Arabidopsis thaliana: one gene and its partners. The protein of the gene in region 1 interacts with the protein of each later gene in a pairwise test. Each region holds a gene or a part of one and is shown in the gene's direction. Other genes may lie near its edges.

Evidence for each region.
Region 2: the proteins of CPL1 (region 1) and MYB3 interact in a two-hybrid assay, tested with the Arabidopsis thaliana proteins (one study listed by BioGRID).
Region 3: the proteins of CPL1 (region 1) and XBAT31 interact in a two-hybrid assay, tested with the Arabidopsis thaliana proteins (one study listed by BioGRID).

The regions. Positions count from the first base shown.
Region 1 is NC_003075.7:11,509,305-11,516,992, forward strand, and holds the start of CPL1 (C-terminal domain phosphatase-like 1), read left to right. Parts: upstream 1-1,684; 5' UTR 1,685-2,206; coding exon 2,207-2,524; intron 2,525-2,762; coding exon 2,763-3,239; intron 3,240-3,466; coding exon 3,467-3,677; intron 3,678-3,756; coding exon 3,757-3,914; intron 3,915-4,184; coding exon 4,185-4,252; intron 4,253-4,362; coding exon 4,363-4,468; intron 4,469-4,594; coding exon 4,595-4,678; intron 4,679-4,817; coding exon 4,818-5,423; intron 5,424-5,523; coding exon 5,524-5,587; intron 5,588-5,670; coding exon 5,671-5,801; intron 5,802-5,874; coding exon 5,875-5,928; intron 5,929-6,074; coding exon 6,075-6,171; intron 6,172-6,629; coding exon 6,630-6,844; intron 6,845-6,947; coding exon 6,948-7,034; intron 7,035-7,230; coding exon 7,231-7,296; intron 7,297-7,370; coding exon 7,371-7,444; intron 7,445-7,530; coding exon 7,531-7,618; 3' UTR 7,619-7,688. Other genes in the region: AT4G21660 (proline-rich spliceosome-associated (PSP) family protein), read right to left, coding at 1-126, 247-468. UniProt on the Arabidopsis thaliana protein: Processively dephosphorylates 'Ser-5' but not 'Ser-2' of the heptad repeats YSPTSPS in the C-terminal domain of the largest RNA polymerase II subunit (RPB1). This promotes the activity of RNA polymerase II.
Region 2 is NC_003070.9:8,004,419-8,008,028, forward strand, and holds MYB3 (myb domain protein 3), read left to right. Parts: upstream 1-1,645; 5' UTR 1,646-1,870; coding exon 1,871-2,003; intron 2,004-2,004; exon of another isoform or gene 2,005-2,080; coding exon 2,081-2,210; exon of another isoform or gene 2,211-2,243; coding exon of another isoform or gene 2,244-2,290; coding exon 2,291-2,801; 3' UTR 2,802-3,042; downstream 3,043-3,610.
Region 3 is NC_003071.7:12,376,174-12,381,317, forward strand, and holds XBAT31 (uncharacterized protein), read left to right. Parts: upstream 1-2,098; 5' UTR 2,099-2,368; coding exon 2,369-2,548; coding exon of another isoform or gene 2,549-2,636; coding exon 2,637-2,696; intron 2,697-2,773; coding exon 2,774-2,845; intron 2,846-2,918; coding exon 2,919-3,040; intron 3,041-3,121; coding exon 3,122-3,262; intron 3,263-3,352; coding exon 3,353-3,460; intron 3,461-3,535; coding exon 3,536-3,788; intron 3,789-3,866; coding exon 3,867-4,301; 3' UTR 4,302-4,636; downstream 4,637-5,144. UniProt on the Arabidopsis thaliana protein: No E3 ubiquitin-protein ligase activity observed when associated with the E2 enzyme UBC8 in vitro.

The DNA.
Region 1 (7,688 bases):
GTCTTCTTCAGAGGCAAGAGGTTCGCGGAAGTTGAACTTCTCGAAGATTTCCTTAAACTCATCGTTAAAACCATCTTCAAATTCAGCTTGCTCTGGAACATACTCTATCACAATCTGCTCACAAACCTATCAAAGAGAAACATATACCAAAAATCATCAGCAAACGATAAACAATCACAAACCCTAAGAAAAACCCTAGAACACCTCTCCATGAATCGAGTACGAGAAGATGAGCACAAAGTTAACCTGTGGCTGGGGATCTGTATTCTCTTTGGATTCAGAAGCAGCAGAAACGTCCGATGCATCTACATCGGCTTGGGATGCTTTGTTGTTCTTCTTCTGCTTCCGTCTGCGGCGGCGACGGTCAATCTCACGAGATTTCTTAGAGGAAGCGGAGGTGTTTCCGTTGGAGACATCACCGTTAGAAACGACGCTATGAACGAGTGCGACGGTTGAATCGGCGGTCATATTCGGTGTTCTCTCTGAATCGGTGATGTGAAAAGAGAGATTGAGAGGAGAAGGAAGAACGACGGAAATCGAGGATATACGTATATGAACAAGAGTCGGTTTGCTGAAATTCTCTCTGATTCTATTTCCGGTTTGGCATAAGGCCCATATAAGTAGAAGACGAATATATCTGCCAATAGGCCCAACACTTTATATTTTTCTTCGAGTGTAAGAATTGTTTTGTAGAAGACCATCTACTAGTAACTAATAGAAAATTTCAAAGGAAATGTATGGAACAATATTCAAACACTACTATAAATGTTGGCACGAGTTAACTCTACATTATTCGTAAAAATGTTCTATTGAACTTTTAAAATTATAAAATTACAGTTTACACAATGTCTTGAAATTTTGAAGAAAGTTATAAGTATCAAAATTGTATATATGTGGGTATTTGAGATTTAAATAAAATTCTCTGACTAACAACAAAACTTTTAATAAAATTTAAATGTTTTAGTTTATTATTCGTAAAAATTTAGTTTTTACATGAATTGAGGTAATTTTTATTCACTTTGAGATTTTATTAATGTGAGCACGACTCCCGGTGTATGTTATCGGTTGTTTATTATGCAATTAGAACAATATACATTGTGCCTTTTTAGTTTCAAAATTGTTTTCATAAGACATTAGGAAAGAACACGGAAAAAAAAGACATTAGGAAAGAATTTTGTAACGGCTTTTGTACGTAACGGTTATTTTTAAACAAGGAAAAAAATACTGTCTATAAAAAAAAATTATCTTTACGTAGTTGTGTATTTTAGAAAACAAAATAAATCATTTTTTATTTACTAAACTATTATTTTATAAGGAAAAGATTGAAAAGAGTAGGGGAAAGATATATGTGAAAAAATATTCATGCTTGGTAGATAAAAAATATTTCACAAATAAAGAGACAAGTATATGTCAAAAATATCATGTCTTTTGAATAAATAATCTTCTAAAAAAAAAGAATTAGATGAACTATAAATATCTTGTGGTATATGAATCCTTGACACTGTAAAAATCAAAACATGAGATCAGAAACACAAGTATAAAAGTACATTACAAGTACGGTATGAATCGAAAAAAAAACAGAATTTGACAGGTTTTGAGCTGATAAAAACTATTTCAGGCTTTTATTAATTTTTAAAAATAGTATTAATTGTTTTTAAAATAAGACATAAATAAAAAAAAGAACGGTTAAAGAAAATGAAGGGGCCCTTCGTGTTTTGTTTTCCCTTAAAAAAACCAAGGACAAAGGCATAATGCCGTATTCACAATCTTGACTCTTCGTTATCTGGATCTAGGGTTTCTCTCGATTTTTAGAACGCCACAAAACCTAATAAACTTTTCCCAGATACACAAACAAACTCATCATCAACCAAGGAAGAAGAAAGAAACTAGGGTTTTTTTTTGTGGATTCATCATCGGTATTTTACAGATCTATATTCAAAGGGAACAAAATCTTAAGGAACAAACACTAAATTTTCATTCTTTCTCTTATTTACCCATTTATCAAAAATCTTCCTTTTGTTTTCCTGATTCTTGCTAAAGAAAAAAACTCGGATCCAATTCATAAACTAGTGTGGACTGGTGATCAATCTATCAATTCTGGCCAAGGGACAACAAAAAGTTTAGATTTTGATGAACCAATTTTGAGATGAGACAATAGACATCCATTGATCTGTAAACTTTAAGAAGGAGAAGGAGAAAAGAAAGTATGTATAGTAATAATAGAGTAGAAGTGTTTCATGGTGATGGAAGACTTGGAGAATTGGAGATATACCCTTCAAGGGAATTGAATCAGCAACAAGATGATGTGATGAAGCAGAGGAAGAAGAAACAGAGGGAAGTAATGGAGCTAGCCAAGATGGGAATCAGAATAAGCCACTTTTCTCAATCTGGCGAGAGGTGTCCTCCTCTTGCAATACTTACTACAATTTCATCTTGTGGCCTTTGTTTCAAATTAGAAGCTTCACCTTCTCCAGCTCAGGAGTCACTCAGTTTATTCTACTCGTCCTGTCTCAGGGACAACAAGGTATCTAAACCTTACGAACCTTTAAGCCTTACTCAGACTTAGATTTTATCAACTAAAACTCAAAAACACTTAATGATAAATAGGATTTTGTGTCATTATTTAACTTCCTTAATGTCAGAGCTGCATCAAGTTTGGGGCTTTAGAAACTTTTAGTAGAGTGGGGGTTTGAATCTTGTGTTGTTTGTTATGTTACAAATTGTCCTCATATTTGTGAGTTTTGGATTTTTGCTTCTTGCAGACAGCAGTAATGCTCTTGGGTGGAGAAGAGCTCCATTTGGTTGCTATGTACTCGGAAAATATCAAGAATGACCGTCCTTGTTTCTGGGCATTTAGTGTTGCTCCTGGAATTTACGATTCCTGTCTTGTTATGTTGAATCTTAGATGTCTGGGTATTGTCTTTGATCTTGATGAAACCCTTGTAGTGGCGAATACCATGCGCTCATTTGAGGATAAGATTGACGGGTTTCAGCGGAGAATAAACAACGAGATGGACCCTCAACGCCTTGCCGTTATAGTGGCTGAGATGAAGCGTTATCAAGATGACAAAAATCTATTGAAGCAATATATTGAAAGTGACCAGGTTGTTGAAAACGGGGAGGTGATAAAGGTGCAATCTGAAATTGTTCCTGCCTTGTCTGACAACCATCAGCCTCTTGTTCGCCCTCTGATAAGGTTGCAAGAGAAGAATATTATTCTGACTCGCATTAACCCAATGGTATGCAAGTCTTGAATCAGTATATGTCTGTTAGTTTCTGTTCCCCGTATACATATATGTTTAGTGCTTACTACACATTTAAAAGACAATAAGTGGTGGTGTGCTGTGTGGTGGATTTCCTTGAATACTTGTGGTATAACCTTTTATTTTTCATTTGCTCCTTTCTGGAGCACCTAGATTTTTCTGAATTCTTGTGGCTGAATCTGCATTCCTATATTTACACACAGATTCGTGATACAAGTGTTCTTGTGAGAATGAGGCCCTCATGGGAGGAACTTCGAAGCTATTTGACAGCAAAAGGGCGTAAGCGTTTTGAAGTATATGTTTGCACGATGGCTGAAAGAGATTACGCCTTAGAGATGTGGAGGCTCCTTGATCCAGAAGGGAATTTGATAAACACAAATGACTTGCTTGCTCGCATCGTTTGTGTGAAATCTGGTATACTTTTTGGTATCTTATACCTGCTTATATTTCATCATGGTAAAACTTCTTACAAGCTTGTAATTAACCACCACAGGTTTTAAAAAGTCACTGTTCAATGTGTTTCTCGATGGAACCTGCCATCCAAAGATGGCATTGGTAATTGATGATCGATTGAAAGTTTGGGATGAGAAGGATCAGCCGAGGGTACATGTGGTTCCTGCATTCGCTCCCTATTATTCTCCTCAAGCTGAAGTAAGTATAATTTTTACCTAGTTGAAATTGGTTATGAAAAATGCAGAAGCATGTGAATTTGATAAGAATATTATTAATCAAAAGAATCACAAGTCATTTAGAATGGAACAAATGAAGCCTTATAAGACCTAACATAAGCTAGCTTTGTGGTGAGTTCTACGCAAGGGGTCTTTGTGGGCCTGGTTTGTTGCACAATTTCTACCAGAAGTGATAGTCTTGACTTTTCAGTAATAAATGGTGTCACATATAGCTCGTTTCCTTTTCTTGTAGGCTGCTGCAACACCAGTACTATGTGTTGCCAGGAACGTTGCCTGTGGTGTCAGAGGTGGATTTTTCAGGTAAGATGTCAGATTTGATAATAGTAGTTTGTTTTCTTGACATCTCTACTGATCAAGGGTGCTTCCTTAGTACATACTTACGGTGAAATGGTATTTGAACTTGGTTACAGGGATTTTGATGATAGTCTGCTACCAAGGATTGCTGAAATTTCTTATGAGAATGATGCTGAGGATATTCCTTCTCCGCCTGATGTCAGCCATTATTTGGTGTCGGAGGTTAGTCGTGATACTTGTTAGCGATTGGGAGTAGATAATTTTTTGGTTCTCTTCCAGGCAGTCTGGGAGCTTATTTTACTCACCTTTGAAACTGCTTCCCAGTAACTCATTCTTTTTTCAATATAGGATGATACATCGGGTTTAAATGGGAACAAAGATCCACTTTCCTTTGACGGGATGGCTGATACTGAAGTGGAGAGAAGACTGAAGGTGATTTACATTTTGAGGCTCTATTGTTACTGAGTTATTGTGGTGATCCATTAAAGATGCCAACTCCAGTAAACATGGCTTCTGGTTTAAATTTTCTGCCCAATGTTGAAATTCAAATACATTTTTCCGTTTTATTCAGGAGGCAATTTCTGCATCTTCAGCTGTCCTTCCGGCGGCAAATATAGATCCGAGGATAGCTGCTCCCGTTCAGTTCCCCATGGCTTCTGCTTCTTCTGTTTCAGTTCCAGTACCAGTACAAGTCGTGCAACAAGCAATACAACCTTCAGCTATGGCCTTTCCAAGTATTCCATTTCAACAACCTCAACAACCGACATCAATAGCTAAACACTTGGTTCCTTCAGAACCAAGCTTGCAGAGTTCTCCTGCTAGAGAGGAAGGTGAGGTACCTGAATCAGAATTAGATCCAGATACTAGGAGGAGACTCCTCATATTGCAGCATGGACAAGATACTAGGGATCCTGCTCCAAGTGAACCTTCATTTCCTCAGAGACCTCCAGTTCAAGCTCCACCCTCACATGTGCAATCAAGAAATGGCTGGTTTCCTGTTGAGGAGGAGATGGATCCTGCTCAAATTCGTCGAGCAGTCTCAAAAGAATATCCGTTGGATTCTGAAATGATTCATATGGAAAAGCACAGGCCTCGTCATCCATCATTTTTTTCTAAGATTGATAACTCAACTCAGTCTGACAGGATGCTTCATGAGAATCGCAGGCCGCCAAAGGAGGTACCACTAATCTTATTTAACCTATGATTTTACAGTTGTCAGTTTTTTTGGTCTTTATACTGCTGTACGACGTTTAGTGCTCACTGTGATATATTTGCAGTCTCTCCGGAGAGATGAACAGTTACGTTCAAATAACAATCTACCTGACTCTCATCCTTTCTATGGTAAGCCATCAAAGTTATTTGTTCTTGTATCATTTTGTTCTGAAGATAAATCACTGACTTGGGTATTGGGATGGACTCTCTAGGGGAGGATGCGTCTTGGAATCAATCTTCCTCTAGGAACAGTGATCTTGACTTCCTACCTGAACGAAGTGTCTCAGCAACGGAGACTTCAGCTGATGTTCTACACGGAATTGCTATCAAATGTGGAGCTAAGGTATGTAAATATCATCATGATTACCATTAATTCCATACGTGAGTTGATGTGTTATTATTCCATGACATTGTAGGTGGAGTACAAACCAAGTTTAGTTTCTAGTACAGATTTGCGGTTCTCTGTTGAGGTACGTATTGCTCTTAGACGTATCTGTTTGTATGGTGTCAGTAATTTTGGTGGAACCTTATGCTCTTTGAGATCCTATATTTCCTTTGAGTGAGGTTACTTTGTTGATTGTGTCAACTGTACATTAAATCTATGTTTTTTTTGCAGGCTTGGCTTTCTAATCAAAAAATTGGAGAAGGGATTGGCAAATCGAGAAGAGAAGCCCTGCATAAGGCTGCTGAAGCTTCTATACAGAATTTAGCTGGTAAGACTTTCTGACTCATGATTTACTCGTGTCTTAATCTTTGTCTGCAGAGATACTATTTGAGATAGATTGTTTGAATCTGCTATATTGGGTGAATGTTATTTGTTTGATGTTTCTAAACCATCTTCACAATATTGGGTGTAGATCTCAATTTTTCAACCAATCTGTTTAGTCTGTAATATTAATAGATCTATTGTAGCTTCGTGTTGGTCCTCATAAATGGGTTTATATCAATGAGTATGAGTACTGCCACCACAAACGGTTGCGTGTCAGTATGTTATGATATCAAAACTGTGGGTCCCTTCCCTTTACAAGGGTGAGAGCTATCTTGGATTTGTGGCAGTTGGCTCAGGTTTAATATTGGTCGGCTTCATTCACATTGTTCTTATAATGAGGCTTTAAACTCATTGTTGTTCGTTTGTTTCCAGTTTCTTGAGTTCTTACTCCTTTTTTTGCAGATGGATATATGCGTGCAAATGGTGACCCAGGGCCCAGCCACAGAGATGCTACCCCCTTCACCAATGAAAATATAAGTATGGGAAACGCAAATGCGCTTAATAATCAGCCATTTGCTAGAGATGAAACAGCGTTGCCAGTTTCTTCTAGACCTACAGATCCGAGATTAGAAGGTTCTATGAGGCACACTGGCTCCATTACTGCACTCAGGGAATTGGTATGTATCTCCTTAGTGCGGATACTGTTGATTGATATGGTTGCTTGCTTACATTCACATATTGTTTTTTCTCATCTTTGATTCATCTGTAACCAAATTCCAGTGTGCATCGGAGGGTCTTGAGATGGCTTTTCAATCTCAGCGTCAGCTTCCATCTGACATGGTCCACAGAGATGAATTACATGCTCAGGTTCGCACCCCTAAAAGATTAGAACACAGAAGTGTTAAATTTTTTAAAAAAAAAATCTAAGATAGACAATTTTCAGTTAAAAGAGAAAGATTCATGATTTTCTCTTCAGGGCCATCAGTATATTTCATATCTATTCAATTGGTTTGAAGTATCTAGAGTGTAGACCCCTCTTGATACTCTTTGTAATATATTTCAGGTTGAAATAGATGGGCGTGTTGTAGGGGAAGGAGTTGGATCGACATGGGACGAAGCTAGAATGCAGGTAACTCAACTAAATTCTTGCCTCGGGTTTATTCTGATCCCATCTTTTCCCTTCTCTGACGTTCTTACCTTTAGGCTGCTGAGAGAGCACTGTCCAGTGTGAGATCAATGCTTGGTCAACCTCTGCATAAACGACAAGGATCTCCACGGTTTGTTCTTGACTATATCTATATGATTATCAAAATAAAAATGTCAGTTGATATATTTTAAAAACCGGTTTCTTGTTGATGTTTAGATCATTTGGTGGGATGTCAAACAAGCGATTAAAGCCGGACTTTCAACGGTCTCTGCAACGGATGCCATCTTCGGGAAGATACTCTTAAAAATAAAACCATGTGAAGAACGAACCACATTCTACATTAATTCCATTCTCTTGGTAAAAACAGCTACCAA
Region 2 (3,610 bases), on another chromosome or scaffold:
GTTGGCTTTTAACACGAAATATTAAGTTTTAGTTGCGCTTCGGACGTTATGTTTTTTTGAATCGTGTTTTCGCCATGTTCTTTTGTGCATAGGGAACCTTCGATTCCAATTCCATATCGATCAGTGTACCTCCGAAGAACCTTTCTTTGAACGTCGTAGTTCATGTTAGCCAATAGTCAGGAAGACTCAGAAGGTAGAAGTGTTGTACAACAATGTTTGGCATTTGGCGTAGCGTGATGAAATTAGAAGCTTGTTTGCGGTTAGCCATGTTGGGCTTTGCAAGTAATGGCCCATGACCAATACAATGCTATGAACAAAAGGCCCATCCGCTCATGACTCTTCTTATGTTTCTTTCTTAATTAAGCATAGATTACTAGCTTATGACAAAACATTGAAGATTGAACAGTAGTTAAATTACGTTGAATAGTAGTTAGATTGTACGGGGTTTTCTATATAAGAAAAAATGTTTACGATTGAGAAAGAAAAACAGAACTATAATAAACTTATGAAATTAAGCTTTAGATAGAATTACATCACTGTTGTAAAATTCAACTCCTCTTTAAATATTGAAAAGAATTCTGATAACTTCTGCAAAAGTGCAAAGGACTAAAATACGTATGGGGCGTGTGAGACAAAAACATTTAACATTTATACGATTCTATGCGACTAATTTATCTAATCGCCTGTTATAGCGACGTTATTCCAATTTCCAAGAAAAATCATCCCAATGTTGATTGATACCATTTAAGTACCTTACAAGTTACTAGTAAATTCATTTTAAAAATGTATTCTTTAATTGGACCGTCGTTACAATGTGAAATCCGAAAATAAAATATAAAAAAAAACTTAAGAGACACAACAGTAGAAGAAGGACCAAGTACACATGCCCAAACCCAATAATTCAGTTATCCAACTAATCTAAATAATATTCATGTTTTTATAATTGAAGAGACAAAGGAGAGAGGAATGTGATAAAATCATAAGAAAGGACACGTGGAGGTACGTGAAGGAAGTAGCGTGTGGAGAGAGTGATTGGAGAAGAGAGAGATGAAAAAAGACAGCTACCTACTCATCTTCCCAATCTATCTACCTACTTTCTCCCAGATCTACTTTTTTTTTGTTCTTTTTAACATTTTCCCAAAATTAGGTTTAAGTACTTTTTTTTGTTAATAATGCAGTAAACAATTGTTTAATTCAATAATGCAAAAAAAATTGGTTTAATTTTCCGCTAAACAAATTTATTGATATTAAAACGAGTTTACAAAATCGTTACAGAAACTAAGAAGTAAATTTGATGATGTTAAAAACACTTTATTCACTAACTGATTAGTGATTACTTAAACCGTTATTTAGTTATTTTCTCTTTTATAATCGATCTTTTTATACGAAAGTTACGCGTGACTATATTTTTTTATATGCAATAAGAATGGTTAAAAACAGTACATGTTGCAATGAATTGTGGAATTTGTAAAATGATTATGATATTTTTTTTGAGCAGATGAGATGATTCTAAAGAGCCAAAAAGTCAATAACCAAAACCGTACGATCTACATCTCAGAAAACAAAAAACAAAAAAAGTTAGGAAACTCCACCCACGTTCCTCCTGTGAGTGTACTACAATCAAATTTGTGTTTTCTGGTTGGTGTTACAATATTCTTTAGGCACAAAAAAACGAACACATCATTTCATTTGTTAGATACATTTTTATTTTTAACTTTGGTATTAAAATAATGTTAGGTAGTTATTATAAATAACATTCAAAACGAAAACACCATCCTACAGGAACTCTCTTCCTTGCAAAAAAAATAAAACACTATTTCCTCCAAATACACGTAGAGAGATACATATATACATATAGAGATCAACAAAGATGGGAAGATCACCATGCTGCGAGAAAGCTCACATGAACAAAGGAGCTTGGACTAAAGAAGAAGATCAGCTTCTTGTTGATTACATCCGTAAACACGGTGAAGGTTGCTGGCGATCTCTCCCTCGCGCCGCTGGTACTTATTCATACATCCTCTGTTTCTTTATATTTACAGAGAGGTAAAGATTTGATTTTTGATTGAACTTTGTGCAGGATTACAAAGATGTGGTAAGAGTTGTAGATTGAGATGGATGAATTATCTAAGACCAGATCTCAAAAGAGGCAATTTTACTGAAGAAGAAGATGAACTCATCATCAAGCTCCATAGCTTGCTCGGTAACAAGTTAGTCTCTTTCTCTCACACTTTTTTAAGAATATGATTATATTTGTGAAAGATTCTGAAACTTTGTGTTGTTGTTATAGATGGTCTTTAATAGCTGGGAGATTACCAGGAAGAACAGATAACGAGATCAAGAACTATTGGAACACTCATATCAAGAGGAAGCTTCTCAGCCGTGGGATTGATCCAAACTCTCACCGTCTGATCAACGAATCCGTCGTGTCTCCGTCGTCTCTTCAAAACGATGTCGTTGAGACTATACATCTTGATTTCTCTGGACCGGTTAAACCGGAACCGGTGCGTGAAGAGATTGGTATGGTTAATAATTGTGAGAGTAGTGGAACGACGTCGGAGAAGGATTATGGGAACGAGGAAGATTGGGTGTTGAATTTGGAACTCTCTGTTGGACCGAGTTATCGGTACGAGTCGACTCGGAAAGTGAGTGTTGTTGACTCGGCTGAGTCGACTCGACGGTGGGGTTCCGAGTTGTTTGGAGCTCATGAGAGTGATGCGGTGTGTTTGTGTTGTCGGATTGGGTTGTTTCGTAATGAGTCGTGTCGGAATTGTCGGGTTTCTGATGTTAGAACTCATTAGAGAGTCAATCGAGAATTCTTTAGGAATCTTTTTATATATTTAGATCGTCAATTGTGTTTTTTTTTTGTTCACATTTGTTATGTAACATCAAGTAAGAAACTAGCATAATTATTTGATGGCAAAGCCAAAAGATTGTGCTCAAAGAAATTTATAAAAACAACAATTAGGGCATGTTGTACTTGCAGATGCTAAAAAACGGTAATTTTTATAAATGTTATAATTTCATAATCTAGCAAACTAATTAATTTAATACTACATTTTATTTGTGATTAATCTTGTTATATGATATACGTCATATGTTTTAAGAGTTTTTTTTGGTTTCAAATTTCTATGTAGAATTAATGTTTTCATTTTTTAATTTACGTATGTCAATTAAATTCAGTGAAATGTAAATTTTAATGAAATTACCAAATTCAAGCGATGAAATCATGAAATCACATTTTTTTGCGTCACAAATAGTTTCTGAAAATATGTAATAATTCCAAGCCATGTAACTTAAAAATGTGGAGACAATATATAATTCGATGTCAAATTTCACCTATTTGAAGTGTTCCTATTAATTAGATTATACTATTGAATGAGTCATTTCAAGCAGATAATACGCAGAGCAACTTTGATGCAGACGTTAAAACCATACCTAAATGATGTTTGGTTTGGTGTCGTCACTTTTTGTATGTGCTTTTTAGTTCTTGCCTATTTTTTTGGCTATTCGCATGTCTTCTCTTCATTTTTTTTTGATTTTAACATACTAATCCACTTACATTTTGAATTTCAAATAACCTAACCTACAACCTTTACAAGTATTTTAG
Region 3 (5,144 bases), on another chromosome or scaffold:
TCTATTAAAACGAGTTCGGTTGTGATGTTTACTCAACTAGTAGAAAAAAAAAAAAAAAAAAAGAAGAAAAACGCCATTCTGGTCAACAAATTTTGGGCCAATATTCCAAATACACGTTACTATATTTTCGATTGAAATGTCGTATTGTAATTAATACAGTATAGTAGTAGAACAATATTAGAGACACGTACGTAGGTTTGGTTAGATGCTTTTGTCTATAACTCTATGCCAAGTAATGATTGGTGATTCGTCAATCGTAATTCTTTTTTTTTATATATAAACCCAAATAATTTGCTTTACAATCTCTGAATTCTATGTTTTGAGATCATCCATATTCCAATCTAACTGTCGTTAAGGCTCTTCTTTCAAAGGAAGACCCTATTTGCAAGTTGGACACAGACGGACAAGTTCTCAACGATTAGGAGAAAATCGTTAGGACTAATCAAAGTTTTAGATAGGTACCACTACCTAAATAAACTATGTACGAGGACGATACATCCAGTACAAGAGAAATATATATGCAACCTCATCATATAAAATCATAGTCACGAGATTTTATGACAGATCTTAGTCGTACATAAATGGCTGACAGATTTGCATGATATATTGCAATGATATATTTTTTTTTAACCCAAAACATTTTACCAGCTTATATCAACAATAGACATATATATAATCTGAAATAAGGAATCTAATAAAATAGCTCTTAATATTGAATTTAAAGAAGAAAAAAAGTGAAACAAAGCATTCGAGATTTGATGTCGAAGTCCACATCGGGAAGCGAAGGTCATCAAACGGCCACTTGGACTCCGATGAGAAAATTTCAAGTGGGCTGCTTGTTGGCTTTTAGTATAATATTGACCACAAATTATTTATATGCTTTTTAGTTATAATATGCAGATATTGTATCTATATAATACTCCATGAATAGTATACATATGAGTGTGTTTCTTTTTGTTAAATATCCAAGGAAGAGTGCATAATCATTTTGGAACCATTTATGTTTAAATAATAAAATTTATGATATATATACTGTATCAAAATAACTATGTGTTATTAGAGAAAATGAAGATATAGTCATTAAGTTAGGTAATTTAATATGTACAATATTTTAAGAATATCATGTCATTTTATAAATTTATATTATTTCAAACCAAACTAAATTGCTTTAGCTTCTGTCGAAACTGCCTACTATTTAAATTTGTTTTTCTAAAAACTTCTTTGATCGAATTAGCTTTCCCGAAGTTCTAGTACAATTCTAAAAATTGTGTACTAGAATCTACAAATAGCATATTAAACTTTAAATTTCCTTTGAACTAGCTTGTACATAAACTACCATTTCTTTTCTTGTTTATTTGTGACTTAAGTGTTAAAATTTTTCTTCACACCATCTAGCAAAACACCTAACATTGTTCCCTTTCCAATAATCGAATCGCCTATCCTACAATCATCGATAATTTAGTATAGGATCTAGAAGACTTACTATGACTAATTTTGACAATGGTGAAATAATCAAACTTTTTTTATTAAACTAATGTGTTGTATTGGATCAGAAAACATGATTTACATAATGTTTGTAACATTGATATCACCCCCTACATGTATATTAAAAGCCTTATCGACTCCAAATTTTTACCGAAAAAATTGAAAAATTGTTCAAAAACACAGTTTTAGGATCTCATTATACAGATCAAATCACACGAATTCATATCATAATAATTTTTTTGGAAGTCCGGTTATTTTACTAATTTGATCCAACATATCTATGATGAATCTTAGTTAAGATGTGGTGATCACTCAAACAGTAAATTTGTAAATTTTGTTCATTAAAATCAGTTTCTTGTGGACAAAACCATCCTATTTTTGGCAAATCAAAGAAAATATAATTAATCTCAAAGAAAAAAGCTACAAGAAAAAAAAAATGGCCTCAAAATAAAAATAGAAAATATCTGACAAGACTGCCCGAAATCACAAGTAACTGTAACAAAACTGACAACGGGCAAAAAAAAAAAAAAAAAAAAAAAAAACTGCCCGTCGGGCAAATCCTCCAATAGAGAGTCGTCTCTCTTTATCTCCGTCTCTCTCTTTTTTTTTTAATCAACTTTATAAAAAAAACAAAAAAAAAATTTAAAAATTAATATCTTCTCAACAAATGACTCTATCAATGTGTACATAAATGTGAATCTTCTTCCCTCTTCTTCTTCTCCATTGTTAAAAGCTCTCACACAACCACCGTTCTCCGTCACGGTGGCGCTTTATTCTCTCATCGGAGCGCCTCACCGGTGGCAGACGGTGTCGTTGTTCCTCTCCTAAAACCTCCATCAATCACCATCTCTTTACACAGAGCTCTAACCAAAATCTTCGAGAGATGGGGCAGAGTATGAGCTGTGGAAGTCGACCGGAGCACGGAATATTCGCCTCTGTACAGTGCGGCGATATCATCACTATCCGTCGTGTGATGGCGACGGAGCCTAGTCTGTTGAATCAAACTACTCCTTATGATCGTCACTCTGTTCTTCATGTCGCTGCTGCTAATGGTCAGATCGAGGTTAGTTTCAGTGATATTCTCCGAGATCTCGCCGGAATCTCGTCGGAATCTGGTATTTTTGTTTCTGATGTATCTACTTTTTTTGCAGATTTTGTCATTGCTTTTGGAACGATTTACGAATCCAGATTTGTTGAATCGTCACAAGCAGGTTTTTGATTTTCGCATTGATCTGTTCTGTGTATAGTTTTCATGAATCTTTTGCTGATGCTTTGATTCGTCTTGTAGACTCCGTTAATGTTGGCTGCGATGTATGGAAGAATCTCTTGTGTGAAGAAGCTAGCTGAAGTTGGAGCTAATGTACGTTTACTTTTTTGTTTTGCAATTGAATCGATTTTGGATTTGGTAATTGAAAATCTTTTGGAATCTGCAGATTTTGATGTTTGATTCTGTGAATCGAAGAACATGTTTGCATTACGCTGCTTATTATGGACATGCTAATTGTGTTCAAGCTATTCTCTCTGCTGCTCAATCAAGTCCTGTTGCTGTCCATTGGTAAGTCTCTTCCTATCTTTGATCAGAGTTTACTTATTCCTGAGAATGAAACTTTTGACACTCAGGGGTTTTCATTTTCAGGGGATATGCGAGATTTGTGAACATAAGAGATGATAAAGGAGCGACTCCGTTGCATTTAGCTGCTCGACAGAGACGACCTGAATGTGTGAATGTTTTGTTGGATAGTGGTTCTCTTGTTTGTGCATCTACTAGTGTATATGGGTAATGGTTTTTCTTGTCATGCATTGAAATCAACAGTTCTTAGATGTTTTGTTCTATTGGAACTGATTCTTTAAGCTTTTGTTGAAACAGTTCTCCAGGAAGCACACCTCTTCATTTAGCAGCTAGAAGTGGATCTATAGATTGTGTCAGAAAGTTGCTTGCTTGGGGTGCTGATCGTCTTCAACGAGACGCTTCTGGGTATATATATAAATTTTGTGGAAAAGTCTTGTTTTGGTTTCAGAACATAACTTGAATCTTGAAATATCTTTTCAGGAGAATACCTTATGTGGTTGCGATGAAGCATAAGCATGGAGCATGTGGAGCCTTACTTAATCCGTCCTCTGCAGAGCCACTTGTTTGGCCATCACCATTAAAGTTCATCAGTGAGCTTAATGACGAGGCGAAACTTCTCTTAGAGCAGGCTTTAATGGAGGCTAACAGGGAGAGAGAGAAAACCATCCTCAAAGGAACAGCTTATTCCTTACCATCACCCTCTTTCTCTGACACGGATGATAACATGTCCGAGGTAATAATACTACACTCTTTACTTTCCCCGTGGCTCGGTAATTTTTGTGATTGTAGTAACATGTAAATGTGTCTATAGGTGAGTGATACGGAACTGTGCTGCATTTGCTTTGAGCAAGTATGTACAATTGAAGTTAAAGACTGTGGTCACCAAATGTGTGCACAATGCACACTTGCACTGTGCTGTCACAACAAACCAAACCCAACGACCTCAACCGTGACTCCACCGGTCTGTCCGTTCTGTAGAAGCACCATTGCATGTTTAGTCGTCGCCCAGAACAACAACAACAACAACGAAAAGAGCAAAAGCCTAGATGATGTTGTTGTTGTTGATCGTGAGGCAGGTGATGTTAGCTCCTCCAAATTCAGAAAACATAGAAGATCAATAAACCTTGGCGAAGAAAGCAGCAGCTTCATGGGACTATCAACTATTGGATCATTCGGTAGGATAACCGGCCGTGGCTCGGGAAGGATCGCAGCCGAAAACGAGCTGATGGACAAACCAATATTGTGAGGGATCGATTCCGTTTTAAGGGACATTTTGGGGCATGGGGGAGCAATAAAAAAGATGAGGGGATGAAATTGTGAGAATGTATAAAATATAGATGAATTTATGTTAGATCTTTTGTTGAAGGGAGGAAGATTGAAATAAGGAAAAAGATGTGGGGAGGTGTGTAATGCAAGGATTTGTTGTTTCTTTGATTAAGTTTGGCCAAAATTGTTTGTTGTTGTTATTATTTGGTTACTTGATATGAAAGGGAAACCCATAATCTTTTTGTCTTTGTCTCACTTTTTTTGGTTATTTTCTCACTTAACTTACCAAGAAAAGGCAAATTAGACTTTTCGCCTACTATTTCATTAAAAATGATAATTTTCGTTTGTCTAATTTTATATTTTCACTATATACAAAAACCTGGAGAATTTAGGTTGGATTTGTGAGAAGGGAACAAATGTGATGTGAACGGCTGCTAATAAGTCGCCAACGACCAACGTGGATTAAGATGGAGAGTCTGAAAAAGAAGAAGAAAAGGTTTTATCTCGGTGGTGTTTAGGGATCATTGACCCTACACGATCCCATCACTTTCTAGCAACTTGTGGTCTCCAAATATGGCTCCTTTGTACTTTAACTAAAATATCTAAAACATTTTTAACTTTGGTCAATTTAGATCAACTAGTAGATACACATGGCCACTTTTTGTTTATTCTTGGACAATTAGTTTTGGTACGTCAAGACAATTAGTATCGAGTCATAGGGAAGACCGATTCGGTGGGTATTTATTTATCTAAATCGATTTTAGAAAAGTAAACCTACTGGTTATGATAACATAAAATTAGACAAACGAAAAGAATGCGTGAT